3 linked regions of the Arabidopsis thaliana genome follow. The protein of the gene in region 1 interacts with the protein of each later gene in a pairwise test. Each region holds a gene or a part of one and is shown on either strand. Other genes may lie near its edges.

Region 1 (10,978 bases):
TTTGTTGACTTCAACACCAACGGCACGTTTAGTGACATTCCAGATGCGACCAGTACGACCATGGTAGAACTTATGAGGCATACCCTTGTGGATAGCTCCATTAACCTTGACATCGACGTAATCGCCGACCTTGAAGGTTCTGAGGTAAGTGGAGAGTGGAATATAACCCTTCTTCCTGAATGGTCTCGCGAACAGATCTCTTGTTCTCGCCCTCACTCCGTGTCCCGCCGGCATTTTTCCTCCTCTCTCACTTCTGTCTCTGACGAAACCCTAAAAATGGGAGAGAGAGGTGAAACTAGTTTAAAAGGCTTTTTGTGTACATGGTCTTATTGGGCCTTCAATATTTAAGCCTTATTTTGTAAAACAAATGCCTTATTTGAAATTAACTCGAAGATAAATTGGTTTGGTGTAATTCGAGTAATATGGTTCAAATCAAGTTCGTAAACATGGACAAATAAACTAAACTGTCAATTCATTTTAAGGTTCACAAATTTTTTGGAAAATTGTGTTGTGGCAGGAGTCTTGCAAATGTAAGTATGTTCCTCTATATCATATATCTAACAAAGTAGTGTTGTATTTTACGCATCCTCACTTCACGACAAGGGATGCGCAAGCACCTTAATACAAAAGTCATTGCTTCTTTTTCCAGTGATTTCTGTTTACAGAGAGAGAGCTCTACTGGTTTTTCCCAAAGACTGGGATCTAGAGAGCTTAGAGAAAAGAAGAGAACACCCGATAGGTCGTACAGAAAACACGGAAGAGACTTACGAGTGTAATGCCATGAAGTGGTTCTGCTTACGGGCATGTTCTGGGACAAGTCGGTCCACAGTTTCAGGAGGGATACCAGAGAGTTCTGTAGGACACACGCTTATCAATAACACATACTAATTTTCTTCCCTTATAAAGAATTTAACACGGAAAAAAGAAGAAGCAAATAACAGAACCTTACCTTGTGGTTTAAAATTGAATAGCGGAGGAAGTGGCCGGCCGTTTGGCAGACGAGCATTTGGGTCTCTTAGCTCATCAAAGAAAGGGTGGATACAAGCTTCCACCTATCAGAAAATCATAAGACATACTTATAATGGGTTAGCTTCTGATGCTGATCCCAAAAAAAATATGGAAGTAGAATATGTAACAAAGTCAGAGAAAAGCTATGAATAATTTACCGCTGTACATCTCAAATTAGGAGAATACTGGAAGAACCTACAAAGAAGATCTACTGCTTCAGGTGGCAGACGTTTCTGGAATACCTGAAAGTAACAAACACATGATTCTTGTGCTGTAAGAACATGACTATATAGAAGTAAAACCAAGGAAATGATCACTTAAGAGAAATTTTAGCACGGAGCAAAACAAAAGATAAGAATAACGAGTAACAGAGTTCTGGAATGTCAGCTGTATAAAATGCTGAATAAAACTTCATCTAGATAGAAACTTAAACCAGCAAAAAAGCCAAGATCATGAAGCCTAACTGTTTTCAACCCCCACGAGTGTGTGCATGAGTAATTCCTTTTGGCAAAGGTTCAATTTATTTGTTTGTATAAGAATCTTATATACAAAGGCAAAGCTGTCACATCGCTCTATATGCCAGAGGAATGAAATATGAAGTTAATTGATCACATATACTTCAATCAACCTCACTAAACCGAGACAAGCTTGGTCATATATCGATTAAGAGAACCCTATTAGGTGATAATTGATACTACTAGCGGTATACCTTGTGCCAAGGATGAGGTTTTATCTGAGGAAATTTAAATTCTGTGTAGTTTGGATTCATGCATTTGATCTCCTCCCTTGTTGGTGTACCCAAAACCTGCATGACAATTAAAAAACCATGAAGAGAGAATGTACGAGTCCTACTACAAAAATGGTGGTAAAGTTTTATAAAAAAAATATAATCAGCAGTGAGAAACTATTAGTCAGTGCCAGCTCTAAAGATGTCATTTTCTTTGTAAATACAACTAACCCTAAAAGAATTGATAGCAAAAATACTACCTTTATGATTTCAACAAGTTGATCGACTCCACTTTCGCCAGGAAACAGAGGCTGTAAAACAAGTCCGCGAGAGCAAAAATGAGTAAGAGGGTGAAGAAATAGAATAACAAGCATATAGCTAATGCAAATATAGTGCTCCAACCTGTCCAAGCAGCAGTTCAGCCATCACACAACCTGTGGACCATATGTCTATTGCAGTTGTGTACTCGGTGGCTCCAAAAATGAGCTCTGGGGCACGATAGTATCTTGAACAAATGTAAGAAATATTGGGTTCTCCTTTCACCTGTGGACCATGACACGTCATAATCTAAGCATGGACTAGGAAAACTAAACCACTAAGAGCTATAGCTGATAAACTTTACCAACACTTTTGCACTCCCAAAATCACAAATTTTCAGCTGATGTGTGTGTGGATTCACCTGCACATCACAATAGGTGTAAAGAAAAAAATAAAAGATTGTTTAATAAAAACAAGGCAACATTTGTTTATGACAAATTCTAGTCAATTGCAGGTATGGTGAGCCTAACAGCTGAAACAGTATGGAACAAGTTCAATCCTTGTGAAATCACAAGAAAATAGGATTCTAAATATTTAAACCAACGAACAGACCAGCTAAAAACCAAAACTATTTTCCGAAAAGTTAGATTTTAACATCCTACTTGAACAAATAGCAAGTGAAATTAACTACAGAACAGAAGCCCAGTACCACTCTGAGGTTGAAATAAACATTAGCGAGATGCATACATAACCTCATTGCTTAATCCCACCAGGCATGTAATAACGAAATATCATCATGTCATTACTATATAATGATCAAATTTGTAGAATTAAAGAACACTGTCTGATATTTATGTACACAAATGCCTTTAAAATCCTTATGTGTGGTGACAAAGACCTTGCTATATAAAAAAAATTCAAACAAAAGTAGCTTACAGGAAAGTGAAATCTATCATCAACTTCTTTTCAGTGAGAAAAAATTGGAACTTACTAGCAGGTTTTGGGGCTTTATATCACGGTGACAAAGACCACAGCAATTATGAAGGTAAGCAAGCCCCCTGCAAATCTGTAGCCATTAACATAAAATCCTCAAAAATCATTGGAGAATGTCCAACAAATTATCAGGCCCGATTCACACTTAAGTGTTCAACAAACGTTTGAGCACTACTTCTTTTATATAGAGACAATCAATTATGTTCAATAGTTCCAACTTCTAACGGAAAAGTACAATAGTATCAGAAATGATAGGAACTTTGCCTTCTGGTTTACAATCTATCTAGCAAAACAAGAGGAAATCTCCAACATCCATTATGGAATGAACCACAAGAAACCAGCTGACACATATCAAGAAACTGAATATAGCTTAAATTTTGAGTGATTACTTATGACGCTTACATAAAGAGAAACAAAAAAAGATCAGAAACAGGAAATAATCACCTGGTAAGTGTAGAGTTTGACATATATCAATGGCATCAGCTGGTTCATTCTACTGTAGCTTCTGGCAGTACGATTGACAGTCTCGGGAACAAACTCAAGGACAAGATTTAGATAAACCTCTTCATTTTCTGTTCTTGAATAGAAGCTATGCTTTAAACAAACAACATTCGGATGGTCTAGCATCTGCATAATTTGTAATTCTCTGTTCTTGTAACGCTTGTCTTGTAGAACTTTTTTGATGGCAACAACCTCCCCAGTTTCTCTGCATTTAGCCTACCACAAGGAGACATAAAATGTTTGGGAATCTTAACCAATGGTAAAACAACAAGATAGACAATCTTACTCACTTGGAAAACCATTCCGAATGAACCAGTCCCGACTACGTGTTCTGCTATGTAACTGACTGTCTGTCAATCAAAATTAAAAACAGTTGTATAAGAATCAGTACGTCTCACTAACAATCTAGACACACAGTTTCTATGACCATCTAACCTGTCTTGATTGACCATTTCGTCCAGGGAGTGTAGTTGTGATCACATGGCCAGGTTCTGCACCAACTCCATCAATGATATCTGGTTCACTGTCCTGCAACATGGCAAAAACATCAAATTCAAGTAAACTACTTCATCAAATAGAGGGGCGCATGAGAAGGAAGATAAGCTAAAGAAGTTCACAAAGAAATAAAGACCTAAGAAAGGAGATGCAAAACTTACTCTCTCCTCATCAGCCTCTGTCTTGTCCCTTATCTTCATCTCAAGCATATCTCTGCTCAACCAATCAACTGAACTAGAAGTGTTCTTTGTATTTTTGGCAGATCTCGAACTGCCTACTCCATTTCCCAGATGAGATTCCATGGTGGTGGTTGTTCGGAAGATAACACGTACTAGTAATTGATAACACCATAAACCTTAGCAATTTGGTGTCCCATCCCATCAAAACACCAATCTTCCTAGTAGAATATTAAAATCGTTTTCATAAAGCAAAAACAGTATAAGCAATTACCAGAGTATATACCCACAGAATTTAGATCGTTGGAACATGCTAACAGAATACCAAAGTCACTGGTTTTTCCAAATATATTCAAAACAAAATATCTTAACACTTAAAGCAGATTTAAGAGAAAAGAGAAACATGCAAACTCACTTTCAGAAGTGACATAAAGTTAGCAAATCGACCATCCTATCACCTTCTCAGAATATATTCTACAAACCAAACATAACGCATAATACCTATATATTCATAGAACCACCGAGCACATTCTTATAGCTTGAACATCCACAAGCACTATGAGATAGAAATAACTGAGTGGTGTGGTCTCTAGCTGCTTATGTTCCCTTGATCAATCACTACAAAGAAGAAATATGGTGAATTGAAATGAAAGAGGAAACATATTAGCAGAAAATATGAACCATTTCTATGTGAACAATGAAATTAACAAGAGAATAATTGAGAAAACAAAAGAATCAAATCAGCTACCTAATTTTCTGAGGTCACAATAATTTCTTCCGAAGTTAATTATGATCAGATAGAAACACAGAAAAGTCAACAACTTGGTATTAAAATTTCATTGAAACTTTGAAATAGTGGGTGATAACACAACACTGATACTACTACAGAAGACTAGAATTGAAACCCAGAAGAAATTACGACAAAACCAGATCTAAATTCCACTAAAAGGGACAAAGCTTGTCCTTAAACTCAGTTTCTACAATTACAAAAAAAACCAGAAAAATCAGTAAAGCAGTTGTTACTGCAAGAACCTTAACTTCCTCCAAAATTACACAATTCAACCAATTCGAAGCGCTATCTTCAGGCTTGAAGCCGAAGATGATCGATTTACCTTGAACGGAAAAGTAAAAATCACGCATTTGATGATCTTCTTCTTTTTCTTCAATTTATACAAAATCGAGCTCAATTTTTCTGACGAGCGATCACCAATGGAGAGAAACTGATCAGTAGAGATTTTCTCTGTGGTTTTCTTTTGTAGATTTCTTACTCTTTTGAATCAGGAGAGTTTTTCAGAGATTTTCATTTTCTTTTGTAACATCTACTTTATTTAAATTCGTAAAAGGGAAATACAAACAATTAATTAACCAACCAATCAGAGATTTATAAAAGAATTAAAATATATATTTATTTTAAAATAAAATAAAAAAATTAATTGATAAGCTAAACCAAATCACATCTATTGTTAAACCGAAATGGTCCATTGCTTTTGGGTTTAAGAAAGTTGTTCTTGCGGGAGGAGATCGAGTTTTTGGAATAGGGTTTGATGGGAAGATTAGGTTTTGGAATGGAGAGATTTGGACTAGAATCAAAGATCAGATTGGTGAATTCTCTGATATTATTGTTCTCAAAGAGCTAATTTACGTGTTGGATACGAAAGGCATTGTTTGGTGGATTAGTATCGTTAGGTATGGAACTTCACTTACTAATGAATGTGGTGGAGACTTAAGCTTGGTTGCATGTTGTGGAGAGCTTTATATTGTTGATCGTCTTTTTAAAGAGAATGTCTTGAAAAGAAAAGCTGATTACTTGGACTTGGATGATAATGTTTATGTTGGTGTAGCTCCTCGGATTTCTAATGTGATACATGACGATTTTGGGAATGAAAAATGCAATGTGGACCAAGAGGTGGAAATAGAATGTCCCAAAATGGTTGGTTTCAATGTTTATAAGGTTGATGAGGAATTAGGGAAGTGGGTTGAAGTTAAGTCCTTGAGAGATAGTGCGGTTGTGATGGCGACTGATACTTGTTTCTCGGTTATGGCTCATGAGTACTATTGATGCGTACCGAATTCTATATACTTTGTCCATGAAAAGGAAGTAGAGGTTAAGGTGTTTAAGCTAGACGATGGTAGTACTTTGATGATGTTTGGTTCTGAGCAGAGTTGTTTCCAAATGTTTGTTCCTAGGTTTCTCTGAATCTTGTTTAGGCTAGAGCTACTTTCTTTATATTAAGGATATTGGAGGAGTGACAAGAAATGTGATAACATTATCTCTATCTCATACCATACTTTACCATTTCCGTTAAGCTCTATCGAAAACCTTTCTTCTCCAGCTAGTAATATGAAGAGTGCCACTTCTGTAACCGAAATGTGCATGGCCTATTGGTATATTTCTGGCTTTCATCGACGTAATAAACCACTTGCAGAGGAATGATCACCCATGGAAGATATACAAAACAAATAAGCATATAAAAGACTTCTTCTCATCAGCCTCTGGATTTGAGTTGCTTGGGGAAGACGTTTACGTTGCATTCTATATAGGAAAGGTACGAGCCTAAAGGCATAAGAGCTTGGTGCAGCTTATATCATCAAGTGGGATGTGGCTTTATTGGTGTCTCGATGCCCCATAGATGTTAACAATCAAGTCTACTTGAGAAATATATAGGGATTCACTCCTCTAGCAAAGTATTGTAACAAATAAATGCAAAACAGAGAAAAGAAAAAAATCAAACTAAACCAACTAATAAATAAATTACATAGTTTGATCCATATCTATACAACATATTTTGGACATTGACTTACAAGAATCAGAATAACAAGAACAGATTGACAAACACTTGACATGAGAAACTAAACTTCAACATTGTTCTCACTTTGGTTAAGTTCCGCCATCTTCTTCTTGTTTCTCTTGTGCAGAGTGTAGAAGTAAGATCCTAACGCCAAAACTGTTCCTATCAAAGCACCAATTCTAGGCCAACTAAACACATCATCCATAAAATCAAATGCCAAGACAACAAACAAAGCCACAAATGGTGAAGCACACATATGAACAACATCACCAAAAAGACCCGAAACATAATGCACCAAACCTATCATCCCGACCGCCCAAACCTGCCACGACAAAGCCAACCCGACCAAACTCAGAACGTAATACGTTTCCCCTTTCTTAAACCTCTTGCTATCGCCTTTCAGTTCCTTATACTCGTCACTCGCAAACAAGCCCACGAGACAAACAACCGAGGCGACAAAAGCGACACATATTTGCATCTCTAAGACCATTCTAAACACTTTCTCGTTACCATATCTCTTGGTCTTCACTTGGAGTTTCTCGAACCCGAGTTGGATTAAGCAAAGAGATAATGAGAAAGCAATTGTAGCAGAGAAAGCTAACCAAGCTTGGATGTTGTATCCGAATTCTTCGCCGTCATGAGGCTGTCCTCCAAAGTCAGGAGTACCGAGAACGTAAATCACAATAGTGAGTAATATCGATATGATGATCCATCTAGTAAACTTGAAACGGTTAATGATGGCTGTTAAAACAGCGGTAAATATCAACTGTGTTGTGGAAATCAATGAGAAGATGCCATAGTTTGAGACTAATTTCCCGAGTGCGAACAATTTGCTGTGAGCAGCAACAAGAACACCAAGAGATAAGTAAAGGAAGAAGAGACGCAAGGAGAGGAAACTAGTATTGTTGGTTTCAAGGTGTTGTTTTGGTTTAGGGAAAATGAAAAAGAGAGGGATGAGAATAGGAAACGCAGCGTTTTGGATCAGAGCTTGCGTCCATGTTCCTTTATATTGTAGATCTTGGTCATACTCTTCTCGACGGTCTTGCTTCATTTGGACATAGAAGAAGTTCAAGAGAAGCATGACGAGAGAATCTCCGAGTAAGACTAAGAAAAGACATAAAGAAACAGAGATCCACCATTTTCTTTGTTTTAGCTCCAACGATCTTCTTGGACTCAAGATTTGGTCTGGTTCTGGATTCTGAACGTGTTCTGATTCTTCTGGTTGTTAAAGAAAATATTTAGTTTTTATTTTGTTTTCGAGTACAGAAACAATATTATAAAACTTATGATAAGAATTTGAAATAATTACCATGTCTTGTTGTCTGTTTGGAAGCTTTGGACATCTCCATTAGTTTTCTCTGGTACCTCTGAAGTCTGAACACCCTTAAATATGCAGATTTCATTCTCTGTGGAATGACTAGTTCTATCTTGCAATTAGAAAAGATCTTTCCACTATACCGTACGAAATCTTTTTGACAGATCAGAGTTGGTACTAGTCAAAACCCGGAAAGGTATTACTGTATATATTATACACCGCTACACAAGGTTAATTACTTAATTTAAACGTACATTAAAACCTCTATAAATTAATAATGTTGGAACATGATATTTTATTAATTTATAGAAACTTTTGTTTTAATTGTTAACAAAATATAAGTTAAACAATTTGATCAAAATAAAATTAATATTTTGGAGGTTATAAATTTTATAGTTTCAGACTTAAAACATTTAAAATTACAAATAAATGCAAAACAGAGAAAAAAAAATCAAACTAAAACAATCAACAAATAAATTACACAGTTGATCCATATCTATACAACATATTTTGGACATTGACTTACAAGAATCAGAAAAAGAAACAAGAACAGATTGAGAAACACAAATATACAGTTGACATGAGAGACTAAACTTCTACATTGTTCTCACTTTGGTTAAATTCCACCATCTTCTTCTTGTTTCTTTTGTGCAGAGTGTAGAAGTAAGATCCTAAAGCCAATACTGATCCTATCAAAGCACCAATTCTAGGCCAACTAAAATCATCATCGATAAAATCAAATGCCAACACAACAATAAAAGCCATAAGTGGTGAAGCACACATATGAACAATATTACTAAAAACACTCGAAACATAAAGCACCAAACCTATCAGCCCGACCGCCCAAACCTGCCACGACAAAGCCAACCCGACCAAACTCAGAACGTAATACGTTTCTCCTTTCTTAAACCTCTCGCTATCGCCTTTCAGCTCCTTATACTCACCACTCGCAAACAAACCAACTAGACAAACAACCGAGGCGACAGAAGAGACACATATTTGCATCTCTAAGACCATTCTAAACACTTTCTTGTTACCATATCTCTTTGTCTTCACCAACAGTTTCTCGAAACTAAGTTGGACTAAACAGAGAGATAATGCGAAAGCAACTGAAGCAGCGAAAGTTAACCAAGCTTGGATGCCGTAGAAATGTTCATTTTCATCAGGCTCTCCTGAAAATACAGGACCACCAAAAGCATAGCTCACAAGAATGAGAACTATCGATATGATGATCCATCTAGTAAACTTGAAACGGTTAATGATAGCTGTGAAAATCAAGGTAAAGATCAACTGGGACCCTGAAATCAGCATGAAGAAGCCATAGCTTGAGTATAACTTCCCAAGTGCATACAATTTGCTGTGAGCAGCAACAAGAACACCAAGGGAGAAGTAAAGCAAGATGAGACGAATGGAGAGGAAGCGAGTATTGATGGTTTCAGGGTTTGGTTTTGGTGAAGGGAAAATGAAGAAGAGAGGGATGAGGATTGGAAAAGCAGCGTTTTGGATCAGAGCTTGCATCCATGTTCCTTTGTATTGTAGATCTTGGTTATTATCTTCTCGACGGTCTTGAACATAGAAGAAGTTCAAGAGAAGTATGACAAGAGAATCTCCAAGCAGGACTAAGAAAAGACATATTAGAACAGAGATCCACCATTTCTTTTGATTTAGCTGCAACAGTTGTCTTTGGCTCAAGACTTGGTCTGGTTCAGGATTCTGAACATGTTCTGATTCTTCTGTTGGTTAAAGAAAATTTGGAATTCTCAGTTTTTATTTTTTATTTTTAAGAAGACAATAAGAATAGAAACAATTTTTACAGAAGTTAAGACAGTGAAGTTACCATGTGTTGTTGTATGTTTGGAAGCTTCGGTCATCTCCATGAGTTTTCTCTGGTGGATCTCTAAAGATTTAGATATGTAAATTTCATTCCCTGTAGATTTTCCAATTATTGAGAATGATTGAGGAGAGGCACATTAAACAATGACTAGCTAGTGGTGATTAAATTCTTTATAATAATTAGAAATATTACTAAAACTTATACAAAACCATGCGATCCTTTAGACAGATCAGATTTGGTATACTTTGAAAACGACTCATCAGTTGTGGTCCTTGAGGACATCACTAGGCTATAATTTTATTCCTAACAATCATGTATTAAACATAAGTTAACCTAATAAACTGTCAATCATGATAGAGACTAGACTACTCACTTATGGTCATGCTAAAACACATATTGAAAAACATTAATCAAATAAGCAAAAGTACATAAAGATCATTTAAAGCTCTTATATATATCTCCATAAACATAAGATCATCTCATAAAATAGTTTACATCTCTAACAGGTTCCTTCAAGAACCACAAAAGTTTCTCTTAGAACCAAATCAAGAACAAGTACACATAAGAGCTAAAAGATAAAAGGGTGAAAAATATCTCTCTTGAGTGGCAATGTGGCATGACATGTTGAAGATCCAAGGAGAGTTATAAATAAATCTCTAGAGGAAAGGAAGGAAACTAAGGGTTTTTGTTCTTACAACGTAAAAATTATAGCCTATATATAGGAAAAGACTTGTGAACCCAGGTTAACCAGCTGTGAGAAAGATTTTTTTGTATCTATTTATTAGTTATTACAATACTTTGTTGATGAAAGTAAGAGATAAATTGTAGTGACAAATCCTCATTAACAAAATATTGTAAGAGATAAATACAAAAAAAAAATCA
Region 2 (10,978 bases), on another chromosome or scaffold:
TGTAAGACTTGCATGAAAGAAATAGGATTCGTTAGCTTTTTTAGTATAGATCGCACTAGTAAAGATAAAAAGAAGTCCTTCTATATGAAACTTACCAAATTGAAAGAACAGAGGTCTCGAGTTTTGGGTTTTGGAGAAGACCTGAACAGAGTATAAGTAGCTCAAATAGCCACCATTCTAGGCTGTAAAAGGCAGACCGAGAAAATGCAAGTGAGATAAGAAGAAGCATTGGCGTATGTAACTTGACCAACAAGAAACTTTTAATAGACTTACCAAAGCATTGCCGCTGATGGGACTCCATAACGGAAGAACTGCTTGACAGAAGACAAGAAATCTTGGGATACAAATCGGCGAGTCTTCTCGCAAGAGCTGGAGAATCTCACATAACATGAGAGTGTCATAGCGAAAAACCAGAAAGACACACTAATAGCCAAGGCAGCTCCATTGCTTCCCAAACCAAGTGCGGAAACCAAAGTCCAGCAAACCGCAATGTGGAACAAAAGGGTGGTCAGGGCAAAGTAAAGCAGTGGAAGAACCAACCCTTGTGCTAGCAGAAACCGGGTCAGTGGTAAGACAATCGCATGGGCAAACAAAGTCGGTATGAGCCGCAAGGCGTAGGAGCCAGCGACTCTGGAGATGTCAGGGTCTTGTCCGAGAGAGATCAAGAGTTTTTCCATGTATATCCAGAGAATTGATATGAGGACACATATAGGGATGTTAGAGGAAATTGCGGAGTATGTATAGGTTCCCATTTTTTCGTATTGTTTGGCTCCATAAGCTTGGCCAGAAAGAGTTTCTAGTGAACCCACTAACCCAAACTGCACAAAGAATTGAAGTATTTATCAAGATTTCAGAGTCAACTTGATTTTGAACATAAGAGGAGAGAGTAGTCATAACATAATTACCATAATGCTGAAACCGGAGACATTTGTGAAGGAGGTAGCAAGAGCGACACCGGAGAGCTGGAGCTCGCCGTTGTGGCCAGCGACCATGACTGAGATGACTGGCAATAAGTACTGTGCAATGGTCACGGTGGCCATAGGAACAGCCAAGCGGCTCACTTTCTTCAGCTCGACATTGAGCTGACCACTTTTCCATGTGGCTTTACAGGGGACTATCTGCTCATCTTGCGGAAGAAATGGCTCTTCCATTGTTTTAGGTTGTTAATTTTTTTTTTGTCCTTATTTTTTGTTTGTTATTGTTTTGTGTTGAAAGCCTTGTCTAGTACTTTAATTGTCTATAATTTATGCGGACATTCTTCCATCTTTTATAGACACTAGACAGACGACGAAACCAATGTCAATGTCAACGTAGACTTTTCTTTTTTGGAAATTGTGGGAATAGAATATTCAAATTACATGACTCTTAGCTCGACCAGTGGAATTCTATATTTTCCACGAAGATCCTCAAAAAGTATATTATAAAAGTCTACATGATAAAGTATAAAGTATTACTAAAGTTTATACATCAAAGTTTTCAGCAATGACGTTGTATAGTTTCTCTTAATAAGTTTCCGGAAAACAATAGTTTTTTTTAAGGTGAACATACATCATGTTTTTTATTGTTAAAGGAACATACATCATGTTTTTTGCAAATGACAAAATCTTCTAACAACTTCACAAGTTATAACAGTTTTATAAAACTGTTATAAAAGTCATGTATATTAAACTTTTTATTACTTCCATAAAAGTCAGATATCACAATAACCTAATAACAAAGACAAACAAAAGAGACAATTCGGTCATTTTGAAATACAAATGGTGGACGTCGTCGTCAACACTCAACAGTCGTCCAATATCAGCATTTTGGAAATACATGATAATACACTTGGGGATCACGTTCCAATGATCTATGACTAAACAACAAAGGCAACTCGAATAATTACTTGGGAATCAAGTTCTAATCATATCATAGATTAAACAAAAGATAATGACATTGTTACAAAAAAAAAAGAGACAGTTTGTTTTAACAGTTTATATTAAAAAGGAAAAATGTCTTAATTAACAAAAACATTTTTTTGGTTTAAATAACAACTAGACAGTTCAAACGTGCAGCTGAGGCTGATAAAAAGGTAGGAATTCGTATTAAGTTTTCACCACTAAACCTACTAATTAAATGACATAACATTAGTGGACTATGTGGAATTTGAATCTTCTATAAGTATTTTTCATCTATATATTTTTAATGATTTACGTCAAGAAACATGTATGTGAAAACTCTTATGGATCATTAGTGTAAAGTTATTATGTTTGGACCATATATAAGAGAGATTATTTTCTTTTGTGAATTTTAAAGTTAATACTAAGTGTTAAATCTGGTTGTGCCATACAGGCCATTTTTAGTGGACTTATTGGGATAATGGATAGGACTCACATAGTTGTTTTTTATAAAGATAGGACTGATTGCAGCTGAGGCCATTTTTAATCCCATGGTGTTTGGAACTAATGAGTTTTTATTTACTTGTTACATTTGTATATTAAAGTTTGAAGAAAATAAATAAATCATCTTTCAGCATGTGCAATTCGAATAATTTTTCTAACTAACGAAAATATCAACTCAAGAAAAAATGTATAAATCCTGGATAAAAGTTTTACAAAAAAATATTATAACCCATCAAAATAACATTACATGTTTTTTTGCACATGACTTGCAAATACTTTGAGATAGCTCTTAGGAACAACCTTTATTTAAACCAATCCATTTTCAGTAGAGATTATTCTCTTCCTTGCTTTCTCAGCCTGCAAATAATAGAGTCCAGTTACTTCAGAGCATTCAAAAAACTAGAATGTAACAAACTCTAACCTGTTCCTTCCAGTTCATGGAGGCTGTGACGATAGCCAGTAAAGTGGCTTGCACCGCGGATCCAACCATAACACCGCACCAGAGTCCTTTTCCATTCCACTCACGACTGAAAGCTAAGTAAACTCCAACAGGAGCTCCTACAAGATAATAAGCCACCACGTTGATCAAAGCTCCAATGTGTTGCCACCCACATCCCCTAGCCACTCCATTTAGAACTGCCGTTAATCCGTCGAGGATGAAGGAGAGACAGAGCAAAGGAGATATGTCAGCAACATAGTCAACAACTTCTTTGCTGTTGCTGAATGTGTAGCCTATGATGTTTCGGCAGGTGAAGAGAAGTGTGCTAAAGAAAGCTGACTCTACAAGCCAGAGACAAAGCCCTGCCAATACGGAAACCCTAGCAACTTGAGGATTTCCAGCTCCCAATTTGTTTGACACTCGTGTGCTTCAAGAAACCAAATGACTAATGTTGAGAAAGGAATTGTTGAACACTTGTTCTGGTTTGAGAGTTGAGATCATACCTCACAGCCGCCGCGACTCCAGATGGAATCACATAGTGTAAAGTTCCTATTGTAAGACTGATAACATGAAAGACATAAGATTAATACATTTTGGTAAAGAGAACACATAGGATAAAAAGAAGTAATATGATACTTACCAAATCGAAAGAACAGATGTCTCGAGTTTTGGGTTTGGGAGAAGACCTGAGCAGAGTATGAGTAGCTCAAACAGCCACCATTCTAAGCTATCAAAGAAGACAAAAAAATGCAAGCAAGATAAGAGGAAGCATCGGTGTATTGTAACTTAACCAACAAGACACGTGAAAATGGTTTACTTACCAAATCAATCCAGCGGATGGGACTCCGTACTGGAAGTACTGCTTGATACTAGACATAAAATCATTTGATACAAATCCGCGAGTCTTCTCGCAAGAGCTGAAAAATCTCACATGACATGAGAGTATCACAGCGTAAAACCAGAAAGACAAACTAATAGCAATAGCAGCTCCATTGCTTCCAAGACCAAGCGCGAAAACCAAAGTCCAGCAAACCGCAATATGGAACAAAAGGGTGGTCATGGCAGAGTATAGCAGGGAAATAACCAACCCTTGTGCTAGCAGAAACCGAGTCAGTGGTAAGAAAATAGCATGGGCAAACAAAGCCGGTACGAGCCACAATGAGTAGGAGCCAGCGACTCTAGAGATGTCAGGCTCTTGCCCGAGAGTGATCAAGAGCTTTTCGATGTAAATCCATAGAATTGATATGATGAAACAAATTGGTATGTTGGAAGCCATTGCAGAGTATGTATAGGTTCCGATTTTTTCGTATTGTTCTGCTCCATAGGCTTGGCCACAAAGAGTTTCCAATGCACCAACTAACCCAAACTACACAAAAAAGAATGCAGCAATATTTCAATATTGGAAAGTTAATTGAGTTCTTGAAATGAAGAGGAGAGAGTAATAGCATAATTACCATTATGCTGAAGCCGGAAACGTTTGTGAAAGACGTGGCAAGCGCGACACCGGCGAGCTCCAACTCGCCGATGTGGCCGGCGACCATGACTGAGATGACAGGCAATAAGTACTGAGCTATGGTTACGGTGGCCATAGGAGCGGCCAAGCGGCTCACTTTCTTCAGCTCGACGGTGACCTGACCACTTTGCCATGTGGATTTACAAGAGACTAACTGCTCGTCTCTCGGAAGAAATGGCTCTTCCATTGTCGTCTTCTTAATCTTGATTGATTTGCCTCTGATTTTTTAGATCATATCCAATCTTGTACTGATGGACGAAACCAATGTAATTTATTGTCAATGAAGACTTTTCGTCAATATCTAAATATATATATAACTCTGCTCGACCAGTGAAAACATTTTTTTCTCATGTTAAGATATGCATATGAAAGTATTATTGTTACTACCAAATTTTAGACCCGTAATTGACTGTGGGACAAATAGTTTTCTCTCTTCAATGTGTGTCACAGAAAAAAATGTTATTCTATTTATTAAGGTAAAAACAGATATGATATGATGTACCCATAATAATAAATGCTCCATATAAATTATATTATTAAGAGGGTCCATATAAATTATATTTATTAAACACATATATCATGTGCATGAATTGGTTTCTGATTTTTGTAGACGTGGTGGCCTTGTTGTTTCGATTTTTCAAAAAGTTAATTATTGCCGACAATAGTGAATAGTTTTTTTTTCCTTGTTTGATATAATGTTATGAATATGATCCAATTCCGGTTTAATGTTGGTCTGATGACATTCGGTTTAACAGCAGATTGGAGTTGGTTATTGAAACGGTTCGCTTTGGTTTACAGAAGAAGGAAGTTATGATTGGAAGACTCTCATTCTGAAAGAGGCTTCGATGCTCGAAGTCAAACACATATAAATAGAAGTCTGTTATCTTCTTCTTCTTCATTCCGTTAGAAAGTTGTTACGATCTCTCTTAAACCCAGAAAATTAGGGTTCTTCATTGATCTTGTATTGAGCTCAGAGAAGTTTGTAAACATCTCATATAGTGGATTGCCGGATCTATCTGGCTCCAGACGTAGATCTAATCACACAGATTAGATTGAACTGGGTAACAAATTCTTGTGTGTTGTTCTCTGTTTCTTCTTTGATTCACACAAACAAACTTCGAGTTGAGAGATTGAGAGCTGATAAGTGAGGTTCGCGTTCGTATTGGGATCGGTTCTATAACATTTAGCGAAATGAAATTGGAACACCTTGATTAGAAATAAAATTATAAGATTAAAATAAATTGTATTTTGGTATAAAATTTTGAAAAATCAAGTAAAACAAAAAATTAAATTTCTAAATACTTATTTCAGAAATATATCTACTAGATATTTTATTTGCTTTTTTGTACAAATATTCTTTCACATATATTTATTTTCAATTAATTAATAGATTCATTACTTTAGTTAATAATTTTTAATTATTTAAACTGTTCTTACATTTAATTGCCCTTTAATTTATAGGTAAATTTTTTTATTGGTTTCCTTCTCACTAAATGACTTCAAGTTCTTAGCCACTATATGAGATTTTATTTGTTGACTTACTCATTATTTGATTTCTTAGAAAACTTGAAAAAATATGAATCACACCATTTCTTTTCTATATGAAAAAATATAACCAGAATATGTATTTTTTTTTTTATAAAACTATTTCACATCTAGAAGTTTATTAAGAAAGTATTGAAAAATTATATAATTTAAGAAAATTATTTACTAAAATTTAAATATAGTATAGAACACATTGTCATTAAAATAAATTAAATAATAGAAACAAATAGATATGAGGTTCAATGTATAAATTTATGTTTGAAAAATTTATATTTTGCAGTATTACTTATCATGAAATAACCTCAAAAAATATATTTCAAAAACATACTATATTGTCTAATGTCTATTGTGTGAGTCAAATCTGCACATATAAACCGGCAAGCTTAATTAAGGGAAGTAGTGTCGCGGAAATAATTTTATTTATTAAGCTCAAGAACGAACTGATACAATTACAAAGAGATTGAACTAACTTTGATAACAAGTTAGTTTTTTTTTTCTTGTGAATTTGGATGTCTAGGGATCTTTAGAGACGAATTGTGGATGCCCCACTTTGCGACTGCTCATTTGTATTTATACTTCTCCATCTAGGTCTTCGAATATGTTTTCCTTCCAAAATTTTTATCTTCGGTATTTTTTTCTTTTCTCCTCCTCAATATTGATGATATTGAAAGTATTTTCGAGTCAATCTTTCCATTTTATGTTAAGTCAATCTCGATCTATCTATTTTCACACAAAAAAAACTCATTTTCACGCTAAATGTGCCGAGCCCGACAAAACATTTCGAAGGTTTTGTTTATTGAGGTTAGAGTCGAGTTAACTGAGTGGTGCTAAATCACTCCCCTACATCTATCATAATCTATCATAGAGGGTTAATCATGGACCATAGCTTCGTCTCACATACCAGAAATGTGATGACTTTGTTTTAATGAAATGGAACTCAAGACAGAATCTTCCAAACTTCTTTTCCAACAAGATAAATCGCCTCTAAACCAGTACAATATGTTTAAAAATATTGTTAAATTACAGTCTTAGTAGATTAAAAAAATGATTTTAATTCAACTTTATTGTATTGAAAAATGAAAACAATGTTGTTGAAGATAAATATTTAGCATTATTAAGACGAATCTAGATATGTACTCTAGAAACTTTTAGACGATTTGCTAGCATTATTCTCAACTATATATCCTGGTGTTCTCGAAAAGTTGGCAAGAATTCACAAGTAGAAACTGTTTACGAAGCTGATTAAGTGCATTAATTAGGTCAGCATTCTAAAAGTTAGGGTTATTCACATTTTTTCTTCTTCAATGGAATTCTGTTTCTCCATGAGATTGAACTTTTGTCTCCTTCACATGAATTCCACCAAGTCTTAGTAGTTTGAATTATTTACATTTGAACCACTCTTTTTATTTATTTTAAATCGTTGGTTAGTCACTCTCATTAAAAAGGAGAGACACATGAGTATGAGTTGATTGTTGACTTCCAGTTCTTTCTTGGTTCCTCAGTAGCACCATCTCTTCTCTTTTTATCTTTTTTTACTGGGATCAACATAAACAATTTACTATATATAAGTTATATTCTGTATATAGAGAAACACATTGTTGTATAAACAAAACTAATGTCCGTTCAAATCAGACCTTGTTAAAAGAACATTCAATCGCCCCGTAACTGTTAAATGAAAGAAAGTAAAATATCTTAGCCATATGAGAGTTCAGTTTATAAGATAAACTGTGGAAAATCCAATCAAACATAAATTAGTCACTCAAATTTTTACTTGATGTTAAACTTATACATAGATATTTAATCATTAGAAAGATAAAACGCATACAAGATTAAGTGTCATTTTTAAAAAAAAAATTTATTTTAAAATATATATTGTTTTATATTTTCAATGCAATTGTTTGATACATTACAGCTTTATCCCACGGATTTAATGTATTGATCAATAACTTTATAGAAAATATATTGACAAAGTTTAAGCTAATAAATTTATTTGTTTTTTAATACGTGTGTGAAAACCTTAAACTTACATTTATTCGTGTATATTTGGCATGTGTGACCATGTATTCTTCTATATTTCGTGTATACTAAACGGAAGGAGTACAACTATATCAGTTACGTTTAAAAGTGTGTGATTTTCACTCCAATGTTCTTCCAACTATTCTTTCTCTGGCCTTGGCAGCCTGCAATTTCCAATTGTAAACAACTTCAGTATGGGGTAAAAAAAAGATTCATCAAATGTCCAAAAATATATTTAAGATTGCTATTGACCTGCTCCTCCCAACTCAGGCAAGCAGTGACTATAGCTAGTATGATCCCTTGAGCAGTGGACCCAACGATCACACCAATCCATAGCCCTTTGCCGTTCATATGACCCCAAAATCCTAAGAAAAATCCAACAGGAGCTCCTAGGAGATAGTAAGCCACCACATTTGCCCAAGCTCCAATATTTTGCCACCCACTTCCCCTAGCAACCCCTTTTTCATAAAAGTCATATTTGAGTCGCGAGATAGGATTTTTTATCATTCACTAATTGAAGGGTTTGATCTTAATACCATCAAGCACTGAAGAAAATCCATCGACCATAAATGAAAGACAAAGCAGCGAAGATAGCTCCGTGACATAGTCCACAACTTCTTTGCTATTGCTGAACGCGTAGCCAAAAATATTTTTGCAAGTGAACAGAAGTGTGCTACAAATGGTAGCCTCTAGGAACCAAAGGAAAATACCGGCAAACACTGCCAGCCTAGCAACCTCCGGATTTCCCGCTCCCAATTCGTTTGAAATCCGTGTGCTGCCAAAGTAAACATTGTGACTAGTCTGAAAATTCCCAAACAAATATTTAGTCGGTTTTATCGGAATCATACCTTCCAGCAGCCCCGATACCCATTGGAATGACACAGTGGAGAGATGATGTTGTAAGACTATTATTAAAAAAACAACAACAACCAAAAATATTGCATCAGTAAAGCGTAACAATTCTGTCTATATGAATTCGATAAACTATATCTAATTTAATTAACCAATATTTACTCACTAGACGTCTAGACCTATATATTTAAGACAATCCCTCCTGATATATACTAGACATATATGTAAAAAGGGAGACAAAGATCCAGAGAGAAAGATAGATTACCAAATGGAAAGAACAGAGGTCTCGAGTTTCGGGTTTGGGAGGAGTCCTGAAGATAAGATAAGGAGCTCAAACAACGACCATTCTATGCTGCATATAGAAACAAAAAACAAATCAAGCCAAGAAAGAAAAGAATGCACCAACGATGAAGAAGATGAATGTTTTTACGTTGTCATTGCTGCTGATGGTATCCCATACTGAAAAAACTGCTTGACACTCAACACGAAATCATCGGATACAAAGCCGCGAGTCTTCTCGCAAGCGCTTGAAAATCTCACATATAAAGCAAGAATCAAGACATTAAACCAGTAAGACAAACCAATAGCCAAGGCGGCTCCATTGCTTCCAAGACCAAACGCGTAAACCAGAATCAAACAAACTGGTATATGGAATAAAAGGGTGGTTATGGCACAGTAGAGAAGAGGAAGAACCAAACCCTGAGTCTGGAGAAACCGAGTCAAAGGTTGTTGCACTGCTTGAGCTAACAATGCCGGTATAAGACAAACCGCGTAAGAACCAGCTACCTTGGAGATGTCAGGATCTTGTCCAAGTGAAACAAAGAGTTTGTCCATGTAAAACCAGAGAATCGATATGAGAACAACTATAGGTACGTTTGAGACTATTGCAGAGAAAGTGTAAGTTCCGATTTTAGTGTATTGTTTTGCTCCATAAGCTTGGCCACATAGAGTTTCAAGTGCACCCACTAAACCATACTGCAAAAATTTCCAAGACTTGTTAAGTTTCGCTTGGATCTTGAACGTGGTTTAAACAGAGGATAAACTAATTACCATGATGCCGAAGCCGGAGACGTTTGCGAAAGCAGTGGCAAGAGTGACACCAGACAGCTGGAGTTCACCGCAGTGGCCGGCGACCATGACCGAGATCACGGGCAATAGATATTGAGACACTGTCACGGTGGCCATAGGCGCCGCCATAGAGCTGACGTTCTTCAGCTCCGCCGTAAAATTCATCCACCATGTCGGCGTTGACTTGAGGTTTCTAGTGATTAACTGATCATCTCCCAATAAAAGTGGATCTTCCATTAAATTCCTTGTAAACGCACGACTTCAGAGAGGAAACATTTAACGATCTTACTATACTATACAAATATACAATCAATAATCTATGCTGTCACATTCTTTCTTATATACTTATGTATTCATATAAGTCCAAAGTATCATGTAATCATGATTTGATATAATATGATATTTATCATTAAAATATAAAATCATAAAATAAGTGTAATATAAAAATAAATTTCGTCGACCCGCATTTTCCGGCCTCTGTTGTTTCTACTATATATCATCTTCACCGTTTACACTCTGAAGCAAGCCATATGTCACATGCTTATTTCAGAAGACCGTGCGAGGGTCGACAATTTCAATATTGTCACCGTGTAATCTTGCATGATTTTGAGGGTCCACGGTGTGCAAACTTCCCAAAGAAAACTTTGGTTCCACCTCCTTTATGAAGAGAACATATATCTCAGTCTCCTTTTTTATAGAGAGAACATTTATCTCACTTTCCTCCTTTATGGAGAGAACTTTTATAACGAGTGTCCGTATTTGGTTTCCGGTTTTTAAGCCGAGAAATCGCTTGATTTTCCTAATTGCCTTGCTATCGTATTGTGAAGAGTGTCTTGTGTCTGCGAGACTCGAGGCTACAAAGTCATTTTCAACGTCATTATGTTAATGGACTATGACCAATCTACCACTTCTCAGATCTTTCGTGGTACTGTCTCCGACTTACCATTTTCTGGCATGTGACATTGTGTTCTACAACTCTTGTATGAAAGTAATTATGGATCTATCGTTGGATTATCGTACTTTTTCGTTTACTGCTTTTAACTTTGTCGTTTCAAACACTGAGAATGTGTATTCTCCTAAGTCTTGTAATAGTTTTGAGTGATTGAATAGAAACAAAGCTTTTGCACAAAAAATCATATATGTTTAATGCAACATAATCTCATG
Region 3 (10,978 bases), 220 kb from region 1:
ATTATGTATGTATTGTATTACCATTTTTGACACATAATCGGTTTCACGTCTTTGATTTTTTTTCCCAAAAACATGCATGATTTTGTATAATAGTTAAGAGTCGACATATGATGACAAGGCTTGTGAATACATACATGATACATCTCTCAAGAAAATAAAACATGAATTTCTCACTGCACCAACTTACTCACTTGCATACACTAATGACGTGTTATAGAAGCCTGGTCGGTGAACCTACTTACACATGGTTCATGATATAAAATCTGAGCAGAGAGCAAGTTGACCCCATATCCCCAAATATGTTATCACTATGCTACTCCTACTTCATTTTTCTCTACCAATACTTTCAGAACGTAAGATTTAATAGCCGCCCAACATGTAACTTGGGGCTACGCGTACAACTAACTAAGTAAATAATGCATGGCTCATTTTTCATAAAAAAAAAATTATTTTCGTAAAATGCTCCACAAATCTTATATCTAGAACCTTAGTAATGATGAGAGATATTAGAATCTAGTCGAATCCAAATAATGGACCCCAAATGACAATATAATTAACCACTACCATTAAGAATTTCTCTATGTATAGAAAACAATTAACCTAGTACTTAGTTTATTCTTCTTTTTCGTTTTCTAATAAAAATGTTGTCTTTTTGTTAACTATTGAAGATGTTGTTGTCATTAACGTGCTATTGTAGATCTCGTCGTCTGTTCCTAATCCAACTATTATAGATATGTTTTGTCAAAATCTATATAATGATATCTAGAACTTATAAACATATGAAAACTAAGTGACCCACATGCATGACATTTATTTAGAATTATATCAATGCACAAAGGACATTTGAACAATAGACTACGGGTCCAAATAGTCAAGCAACACCCAAGATTTTGTTTCTTAATATTGTTTTTGTCATCGTAAGATTCTACAAGTTACCTCCTGAAAGTTTGTGGAAGATAAAAAAATTCTTTTTGTGACTAGCCATCATTTAAATGACAATATAAAATCTCGAACTTCTTATGTCTTATAGGTTGAACATTTCAAATGCTAGACAGAAAATTAGTTGCGTCATTTAAATTAGTTCTAACCTACTTAGGTTTAATAGACATAAAAAAACATAGCATCTTCATATCAAACAACTATGTCACTTCCAATCTTTCTGGTGTATGTCACTTCCAATAATATGGAACGAGTTCCTCAGAACCGAAGCCAACTTGGATAAGGATTTTGCCTCACACGAAGATAATAACACAATTTTCTCGTTGCATTGTCTTTTACAGTCACCTTGCTATCTTCAAGATAACTCTTATCTTCGATTGCGAAAGAGAAAAAATATCAAATCAATGGGACCAGAAAGATAAACAAAATGAGAGAAGCATGTCCTCTGGTTGTTATGGGTTATGCTTGACACTTGAATATTTGTGCAGACAAGAAGAGAGTTGATTTTGTTCACATGGATTTTGTTGCTCACTACTTAACAAAAAATGGCAGTGTTTTTGCCTTGAAACACGAGACAGCCACCACTTCTCCAAGCATTTTACTATAACGCCCTTTGTCTCTTTCCCTAATTGGAACTACTTAGTCACACTGAAAGAAGGATCTTTCATATTTCCAAAAAGATCTACCATTTTAAAATGAGTCTTTTAAAAAATGATGCATCTATCTTTGCATAAACCTAAGAAGAAGTCCAACATTAGGTGAGTTTGAATCAAAGTAATTCTAAGTTATGCAATTTACTAGAAGTAATCAGCAGCATATGAATTAAGTACTAATAAAAAATAGTTTAATTAAAAATATATATATAACAAAACTATATGTTGATTGACACGGATCATTTTAAAAACATTTGTGAACTGTCTTATAGAGTAAATGTCCATTTCAAAAGAGTTGGATATGCACATTAATTATATAATGTTTGAATGTTGATCATGCTCTTATGACATGTTTTTAAGTCTCCACATAAGAACCATGCAATTTTCCATGAATTAATAACTAAACGTCGTTAGTCCGACTAGAAAAATACCATGGATAATCCAAACATGCATAGTTCAATAAGTGTGTAGACGTGAAGATGTTGTCAAGATCTTTTCCAGACATTCCTAGTCAGTACCATATTCAATGTGGATATACATTAGCGCAACATGCAAAAACGGAAAAAATTCCGACCATGTCACAAACTTCTCATTTAATACCAACAACCAAACCGGTGTGGCATGGAGGGTCAATCCAACGACATATCTAAGGACATGAGTCCTAGATCTAGGGAAAATATTCCTATCAAACATACTTATCCAAGACTAACAGAGGGACTAAATATTATTCAAGAAGTCAATTTACAAATCAATGCAGATCATAAGTCTCGTTTCTCCAAAAGTACACTTGTTGGTTTCCCTTCTTCTCTTCTTCAAAATCTTCTGATCATCTCATTCTTAGTTCATAATGTCCAATATAGGTCACCGAGTAATTTTCATTCTCGTCTGGCAGCCAATGAAACCTGAAAATTTTCTTTACTTGTCCCTCAAAGCACCAAGAGATACTTCACCGTGTGTGTTTTTTCACTTACGTTGTACTGAAAATCATAGTTCATCCATCCTATAATACTACAGTTTAGACACAATTAACAAAGGAACAGGTTATGAAAAAAAAAATTGCGATCAAAAAAAATACCAATTGTTTAGACATCCACATGCAAACGTCAATTTTAAAAAAGTCTTACAATCACTTCACTCATAAAACGTATTGCATATTGCAAAAAAATGTTACTATTACCCTCAAACGATGTGAGCATACAATGCTTGACGCTCATCTAAGTTTGGTTATGATATCACTTGGAAAGATCCGACTACAATTATTTGTGGACCTTTCTGTTCACTCCTAGCCCGTAGGCTTCATCCACGTCTGACCACCGATGTCAAACTTTTGAAACCTCTAAGAAACTTGTTATTGGTCATATATTTCACCACAAACGTAAAAATACGTGTTTTTACATCTCATGATATTAATAATCATTTATAATAGGTCATTTTCTTTAGATATCTCTAACTTAGACACACTTAATGTGTAGGTTTTTCAAAATGAGTCACGAAAAAGTTAATTACACTTTGGTGATACATGAAAAATCAAATTAATAATTTTGATCATCTCAACACGCACAACTATTTTTCAAATTCAAGTTAGTACAAATACTATACGATCCTCATTTACTAGACAAAGGTTATATTCTTAAAACCAAATTAACTCCGGAAAAACTTTGCCCCCTCCAAAACCAAATTATAGCTTCAGATCATGTATTATGTATATGAATCACAAAATGTGCAGGTCAACTAGTTGTTCTCCGTTGCCTTAATTTCTCTTCTTCTCCACATGTCGTTCCCTCACCATCAGACTCCCAACACATGTTACCATATAGATATTAAGCCATAAATAACTCGTCATACAATTGTACAAAGTATTTATAGTTACGTTGTACAAGAAAAGTATTTAGAATTGGTTAATTTGCGATAAGACCTTTAGTCTACTTGATATATTTTTGCATACACGTGAGAAATTTGGTCAATAGAAATGCTGATCTACCGATAACGGTTTTGATCCTTTTCACGCCAAATTTTATAGAAAATGATCATATGCCAAAAACATATACAACAAATGAAATTGCATGTTGTGGTAAAATATTGATACAACGTTTTAATTAATTGTAATCATTTGATAGAAAACAAGCTATTTTAACATTAATAAGTTATATATAATAAATAAGTTACTATTAATATTTTACATTTACTTTTATAAAGATTTATTTATTTTAAATAGTTTTTAGGTTTCATGGTATGGTGGCAATGAACATGCTTTCAAGCCATTTTCTGCATAATAGTGTTTAACATTACATTACATTACATATATTCATTAAACCTAAATGTTAAAATTATATATGCTAAAGTTGCAATAGACATGCAATTTGAAATTGGAAGAAAATGCTAAATTAAATCTCATGCCATTTTACAGCATAATTTGATATTTTAGACATAGGAAAAACTTAAATTTTATCTTGATTGACTAGGAAAACTTAAATTAACCGTTAGTGCAAAAAAAGAAAGGATTATCTTCACAGAAAGTATATAGACTAATCTAGTGCAGTTTCCTGTTTGACATCATTACACCTAACCTTAAAATTTTCGGAGTTATAAAATAGGACCGACCTCTGTTTCTAAATGTTTCAGCGGAATTAAAGAAAAACAAAATGGCATAAAATTTGTAATTGTGTCACAAATCACAAATGATATAAAATTTCATTTTTTATCAAAAAAAAAGAAAAAAAAAGAAAAAAGAAGGAAAAAAAAAAAGAGAGAGGCAAAATTGGCATATTAATAGGACCGACCTTAGTTGGTTTTGTTTGTTTTTAATATTTGCTATGGAGTATGTGTTTTAGCAAAAACAAATCATAAATGTATATACATTGTTAAGTGTATAAAAATTGTAAATCCGTAAAATTTGAGTCAAATAGCATACAATATCTATAAATGCCATAAAAATGTAAAATTCATTTAATTATAAATCTAAATCCTAACTACTATTATATAAATCCAAACCGATATATAATCTCGTTTAATTAGAAAATTTAAAACCTTTATTATCTTTTATAAACCTAAATCAATATTTAAACTTGTTTAATTGTAAAATTTAAATCTGTTTATAAACTCAAACCGATATTCAATCTCATCAATCATAAAATTGAAATCTTAACTTTTTCTTATAACTGATATATAATTTTTTTATGGCAAATTATATTTTCTAATTAAATTAATTTAATATTATTTATTAGGTGGTAGATTTTGATTGGCTAGAATAAAAAAGTTCACCCAAGTATTTTTCAAAACAAGTACTAACCCCATCAACTTATGTGACCAACCGTTATTGAATAAATGCTTTTTATCCTCTCAGCCTAAGAGGTAACAACAGCCTGATATTCTAGCACTTAGGACGACTGTGAATTCGCCAGCCGACATAACCGAAAGAGTTCAATATATAGTGAAGCCCAAAGTTGAGTTAAAGATTAGGAAAGAGATTTGCTATTATTAAAGGTAATGCGATGTATTTTAAAATAGTTAACTAAACCAATTTTTATGTCTTTCTTCAAAAGTGAACTCTTGAGCTATCCTAAACCTGTGTGTCGTTCTTCTCACAGACTTATTTGGTGGACACACGATTTGTTTAGTCAAAGCAAACAAAAAAAGTCCCACTTCCCTATTAGAAAATCAATTCTTTGTTAAAAAGAAATTAAAACTAATTTTCGCCACGTGTAGAAACGATATCGCTTCTTTACAACTATAAATAGTCAGCCTTTCTCCTCCAAAAGGCCCAACCAATTCCATATTAAAAATATTAGTTCCTCTCGGTTCCTTTTATCATTTGCATAAAATCGTTTTGCCTCCAAAAGACTAAAAGCTCTAGACTTTGTCTCTTTGTCCTTTTATCTCTACTCCCAACAAAACCAGTTTACTCCTCTTAAGAATCATGTGTAATTCAAAACCATCTTCTGCTTCATCTTCCTTATTATCTTGTAAAGACAAAACCCATATCTCAAAACTCGAAACCTGTGATACAGATAATCCTCATTATTCTGAATTCAGGGATACTGATTCTCTAGACCTTAAAAGATGGCCAAGTTTTCTGGAGGTAAATTATTTCTTTTTTTTTCCTATACGTAAATGTTTGTTTTTTTCTACATAGATATGAACATAATAATTCAAGAATCTAGTTCTTGACAAAACTAGATTGTACGAACTATACCAAAAGCATATATACATATACATATATATAAATAGAAACAACAGTTTCGCAATCCTTTTTATATATATACCTAAATCTTTGGTCCCGGTTGGTGATTTGGTTTTGTCATTTTTTTATAAAGGTTTAAGATAAGCTTTATTTGATTAATATAATTAACCATTAACCAGGGAAAAGAAAAAAACGATCTACTGACGTGGACGGTTCTTGGTCTTGACTTTTCTTTTCTTAATTATCTGGCGGCAGGGCTTAGAGGAAGTGAAGGCGATCGGAAAAATCTCTGGGCCGACGGCGATGACCGGGCTTCTTATGTACTCAAGAGCGATGATATCGATGCTGTTCTTAGGCTACCTCGGTGAGCTTGAGTTAGCCGGAGGATCTCTCTCCATAGGCTTTGCCAATATCACCGGCTACTCCGTCATCTCCGGTTTGTCCATGGGGATGGAACCAATCTGTGGCCAAGCATACGGAGCTAAACAAATGAAGCTTTTAGGACTAACCCTTCAAAGAACCGTCCTCCTACTCCTCTCCTGCTCGGTCCCTATCTCCTTCTCGTGGCTCAACATGCGCCGAATCCTCTTATGGTGCGGCCAAGATGAAGAGATCTCCTCTGTTGCTCAACAGTTCCTTCTATTCGCCATCCCTGACCTCTTCCTTCTCTCTCTGCTTCACCCTCTTCGAATTTACCTCCGAACACAAAACATTACATTGCCCGTGACTTACTCCACGGCCGTGTCCGTTCTCCTCCACGTTCCTTTGAACTACCTCCTAGTGGTGAAACTTGAGATGGGAGTAGCGGGAGTCGCTATAGCTATGGTTTTGACAAATCTCAACCTTGTAGTCCTCTTATCCTCTTTTGTGTATTTCACTAGCGTGCATAGTGATACATGGGTCCCAATTACTATTGACTCTCTTAAAGGTTGGTCGGCTTTGCTCTCACTTGCCATACCCACTTGTGTATCTGTTTGTTTGGAGTGGTGGTGGTACGAGTTTATGATCATTTTGTGTGGACTTTTGGCTAACCCAAGAGCCACCGTGGCTTCCATGGGAATCTTGATCCAAACGACGGCTTTGGTCTACGTCTTCCCATCCTCTCTCAGCCTTGGTGTCTCTACAAGAATTAGCAACGAGCTTGGGGCTAAACGTCCGGCGAAAGCTCGGGTATCCATGATCATCTCACTCTTCTGCGCGATCGCCTTAGGCCTAATGGCGATGGTGTTTGCTGTGCTGGTTAGGCACCATTGGGGACGCTTGTTTACCACGGATGCAGAGATTCTTCAGCTGACTTCCATCGCATTACCCATTGTGGGGTTATGTGAGCTCGGAAACTGTCCTCAAACAACCGGTTGTGGGGTTTTAAGAGGCTGTGCAAGACCTACACTTGGTGCCAACATAAACTTGGGTTCATTTTACTTTGTGGGCATGCCAGTCGCTATTCTGTTTGGGTTTGTTTTCAAACAAGGGTTTCCAGGTCTCTGGTTCGGGTTGCTTGCAGCTCAAGCAACTTGTGCTTCTCTCATGTTGTGTGCACTTTTGAGAACAGATTGGAAAGTCCAAGCCGAGAGAGCTGAAGAGCTGACGTCACAAACTCCCGGAAAGTCTCCGCCCCTTCTCCCCATCGCAAGCTCAAAGAGCCGGTCTACCTCCGGTACAGAAGATATGATGAGAACCATGTTGGTTTAGATTGATAGCTATTCTCTGGAGGCATTTGCCATCAACATTGACGTACATATATGTTCTTGTCATCATTTTTTGGAGTTTATAGTGCTCCTTAATTTCTACTTTTTGATTTAAGAACGACTTTGTTTTGTGGGCTTTAGTGGTGTTTGTGTTATTTATGGTTGTATTGGTGTGATAGTTCTAATTAGCTTTGACTTCAGCAGTTTGTATTTTATGTGTTCCCTTTTGTAATAACTCGTGGTTTGATTATCTTTATATATTTGTCCATTTTCTAGGAGAATGTGAATTTTTTTTGTTAAACTAAGAATAAATTTATTTTATTTTATTTTTGTCACAAAAACTAAGTATAAATCAAAATGAAAAATTTAACCTCAATACAACTTTAATATATATATATATATATATATATATAAAAAGATTCCAAGATACTAGACGTGTCTAGGCCATTGAAATCTAGAGAAAGACCATACTAGTAGATCAAACCTAATGGCCGAAGACAATCAGAATAACTAAGGATACAGTAAAAATGTTCCATAATAGGTTAATTTTTTTGCAATTTATTTTGTATTCGTATTTGTGTTGTGAAAGCTTTGCTTATTTAACAATCAATTCTTTTCTTAAGGACAGGCAAGATGAATGTTTTATTTTTGAGCTTTTGGTGGTTCCATGTTCCATAAAAGGAAATTATATTCGTAGCCAAAAATGGAAAACAATTTCCTTTAATTCTATCATATTCTTTGTCTCAAAGCCATTGAGATTCGATACGTTTTAAAATTTAATTGAGATCACATTTATTTTGATTTTGGTTGTTTCCTTTGAGCAGAGAGAAAGCATCTTTTCTTTTATGTATACTTTTTTTTGTCCTGGGACCAGAACATGAATTTATACGAACTTCACAGCGATGTGGCCAAAGAATAAAACCAAATATGACAAGAAAATGAAATAAAACTGAGTGGAATCGATAATGCGTCTACGTGTCGACGATATGAATTACCTTTCAACCTTTGATATTCCTTTTCTATAGATATTTTTAAGAAATAAAATAAGTAAAGCCTAGTAAACTGAATTCCATTGGCTTGCTGAAATATCTTTGATTTTCATTGGCCATCGATAAAAAGTTCGAATTTCATTGGCCTTTGAATTATGACGAAAGAAAAGACAATTCTATATTATAAGTTTTGGACATCTACCTTTTGTTATTATTTACACGTGAATAGTTTTTTTTTTTTTTTTTTTTTTGTCTTTTATTGGTAAACACTATGAGGTCAATCATACTCATTCTAAATTTACTGGTGAAGCTATTTCGAAATTTTAAAGATATCAAACGTAGATGATTAACCACGGTAAAAAAAAAGTATATTTTGTAGATAGAAGTTGTTTTTCAGTACTGTACACAGTTAATTATATCTATATATGGAAAACTATAGTAAAATGAGAAAATAATAATACTAACAGTAAACAGGATTATTACGTATTTTGCCATTTTTAGTGGTATTTATGAATTTTGCTATTTTGGCTAAAATATTATGGATTTCTAAATGATATATTTGTTAGGAAAATAAATTGTTTCAAAAAGATAAGAGTTTTTAAATTTTCTATGTAATATTTTTTAGTTATTATTGATGACTCTATAAATTTTAAGAAAATTAATTGAATACTATCAGTAGAATTATAGAAAATTGTAAATCACAAAAAAAAACAGATACTTTTATAATCAACTTTTCATATGTGTGAGTGACAACTCAAGAAAATACATTATTTCAAAACAAAGGGAGTGTGTTTTAAAGGTCATTTGATATAATTATGCATTACATTTTCTTTCTACGTACTTTTTAACACTACTCTTATGTTCGCAACAATTTAAATACTTGTCATTTCCCTAAATAACTCTTTGTTTTCTCTCATTTTGCAAAGTAACCCTGCAAACTATCCTAGGAGGTGAGCATTTATTATATCTAATATATGACATATTTTTATACATCATAGAATTAGATCCGAAAGGTGATATATGTTCATGTATACTTAGAATAAGTATGGCAAGTATGCAATAATAAAGTGGAGTAGGTACATCAATCACATGTTCTTACTGTTTTTGTCTGGATCAAACGTTCAATTGTAGCCACATGAAGCATCACAAACATATAAATATAGTTCATAATACGTAGAGAGTAGAGAGAGTCGTAGACAAGTTTGTGTTCTAAGAAAAATCGAATTAATAGATGTCAAGTCTATAAATGTCGCGTGTGGTAAAGCTCGAGTTTGGAGGAGAAAGAGAATAGGCAGGGTCCCTCACCCGGCCGAGACATGAGCGTTTGATTTCCCTTTATTGTAAAATAATAGCTTTACAATCCAATTTATCACCTACTTACTTTTTCAACATCATCTTCTCATGATTCCAACCATGAGATAAATCTCATTTTCTGCTCCTCAAAGCAGCAACTAATCATATCATGATTGAGTACAAAGAGGTTAAATGCAAGATTGTTGCAATTGTTGATTCTGACGCCACTTGGAACGTGCATTCCTCTTTTACGTTAAAACAATAGTGTTTGTAAATTGTGACAACTTATATACCATCTACTTTTCCTCAAATTCATTAGGTCACCAATGGACCAAGCATGTCGAGATCGAAACTCTATTCATCCGTGAAAAATTAGCTATCGTCAAATTCAAGTTTTACATGTGTTTTCCACCTATATGGCTATATATCAATAACTCGCTAGAGTTTATTTTGCAAAAAAAAAAAAATCTTTATGGTTATTTTACAAATAATGTTCAACCATATGGTTGTTAATTCATATATTGTATTTATCATAATTAAAAATCTATAATGCCAAATGCCGACGAAGATTAAAAACATATGATATTCATAAAACTTTATTGACATGTACGATTGTTATATAGTATAATCTTTTGATATAGTTTCTTAATTATTGACATGTATGATAAACTACTACCTAAGAAAACTTTATTCTCTTTCTTAAACATTTACTTCGTTGAAATTAAGAAAAGGAACTCGTGATGCATGAGCTTTCTCTCTCAACCGACCTTAATTCGCCTTAAGCATGCCCCAAAATAGGATATGATTAAATATTTGAAAAACATAACTCATTGGCTCTGCCGTCCGGATGAATCCTTACCAATGGTTATACCTTTTCTTACTCACTTTGGATTGTTCGTTATTACTTTATCCTATTTTATTGAAATAAAAAATAAAAGTCAATTATAAAGACTCAAAAAAAGTAAATTATAAAATTCAGTTTATCACTTATCAGGATAAGAAAAGAAGGCCACTCTTTTGCCACCGCGTTCAAATGTTGTATATCGAAATAATAATGGCGAGTTATCATTCGTTGCACACAAAATCATCAAACTCAAAAGATATCTTACATAAATTATACAATATGAACATGTAAAAATGTAAGATAAAGGCACTTAATTGTTATTACCTCCTTTCGAAACTATTATATTTTAAATTATTACTATAAAATATGGGTTGTCACTAGTGCTAATAGAT

What was found.
Region 2: the proteins of SK42 (region 1) and AT2G04080 interact in a protein complementation assay, tested with the Arabidopsis thaliana proteins (one large-scale study listed by BioGRID).
Region 3: the proteins of SK42 (region 1) and ZF14 interact in a protein complementation assay, tested with the Arabidopsis thaliana proteins (one large-scale study listed by BioGRID).

The regions. Positions count from the first base shown.
Region 1 is NC_003070.9:21,430,594-21,441,571, forward strand, and holds SK42 (shaggy-like kinase 42), read right to left. Parts: upstream 5,511-10,978; 5' UTR 5,284-5,510; coding exon of another isoform or gene 5,244-5,283; exon of another isoform or gene 4,920-5,243; coding exon of another isoform or gene 4,834-4,919; exon of another isoform or gene 4,777-4,833; 5' UTR 4,660-4,776; intron 4,380-4,659; exon of another isoform or gene 4,376-4,379; 5' UTR 4,285-4,375; coding exon 4,144-4,284; intron 4,016-4,143; coding exon 3,923-4,015; intron 3,838-3,922; coding exon 3,778-3,837; intron 3,704-3,777; coding exon 3,431-3,703; intron 3,060-3,430; coding exon 2,985-3,059; intron 2,415-2,984; coding exon 2,358-2,414; intron 2,279-2,357; coding exon 2,138-2,278; intron 2,047-2,137; coding exon 1,996-2,046; intron 1,814-1,995; coding exon 1,718-1,813; intron 1,251-1,717; coding exon 1,167-1,250; intron 1,053-1,166; coding exon 950-1,052; intron 854-949; coding exon 769-853; coding exon of another isoform or gene 765-768; exon of another isoform or gene 618-764; coding exon 545-617; 3' UTR 458-544; downstream 1-457. Other genes in the region: AT1G57860 (Translation protein SH3-like family protein), read right to left, coding at 1-234; AT1G57906 (F-box protein), read left to right, coding at 4,834-4,919, 5,244-5,283, 5,657-6,217; PUP17 (purine permease 17), read right to left, coding at 7,009-8,165, 8,257-8,296; AT1G57980 (Nucleotide-sugar transporter family protein), read right to left, coding at 8,851-9,995, 10,100-10,139. UniProt on the Arabidopsis thaliana protein: May mediate extracellular signals to regulate transcription in differentiating cells.
Region 2 is NC_003071.7:1,354,640-1,365,617, forward strand, and holds AT2G04080 (MATE efflux family protein), read right to left. Parts: upstream 4,765-10,978; 5' UTR 4,521-4,764; coding exon 4,275-4,520; intron 4,187-4,274; coding exon 3,642-4,186; intron 3,548-3,641; coding exon 3,461-3,547; intron 3,381-3,460; coding exon 3,324-3,380; intron 3,248-3,323; coding exon 2,803-3,247; coding exon of another isoform or gene 2,773-2,802; exon of another isoform or gene 2,739-2,772; coding exon 2,688-2,738; 3' UTR 2,517-2,687; downstream 1-2,516. Other genes in the region: AT2G04070 (MATE efflux family protein), read right to left, coding at 1-7, 96-182, 274-818, 906-1,151; AT2G04090 (MATE efflux family protein), read right to left, coding at 8,014-8,058, 8,147-8,352, 8,431-8,669, 8,743-8,799, 9,012-9,098, 9,177-9,721, 9,797-10,051.
Region 3 is NC_003070.9:21,647,654-21,658,631, forward strand, and holds ZF14 (MATE efflux family protein), read left to right. Parts: upstream 1-5,334; 5' UTR 5,335-5,508; coding exon 5,509-5,670; intron 5,671-6,027; coding exon 6,028-7,464; 3' UTR 7,465-7,786; downstream 7,787-10,978.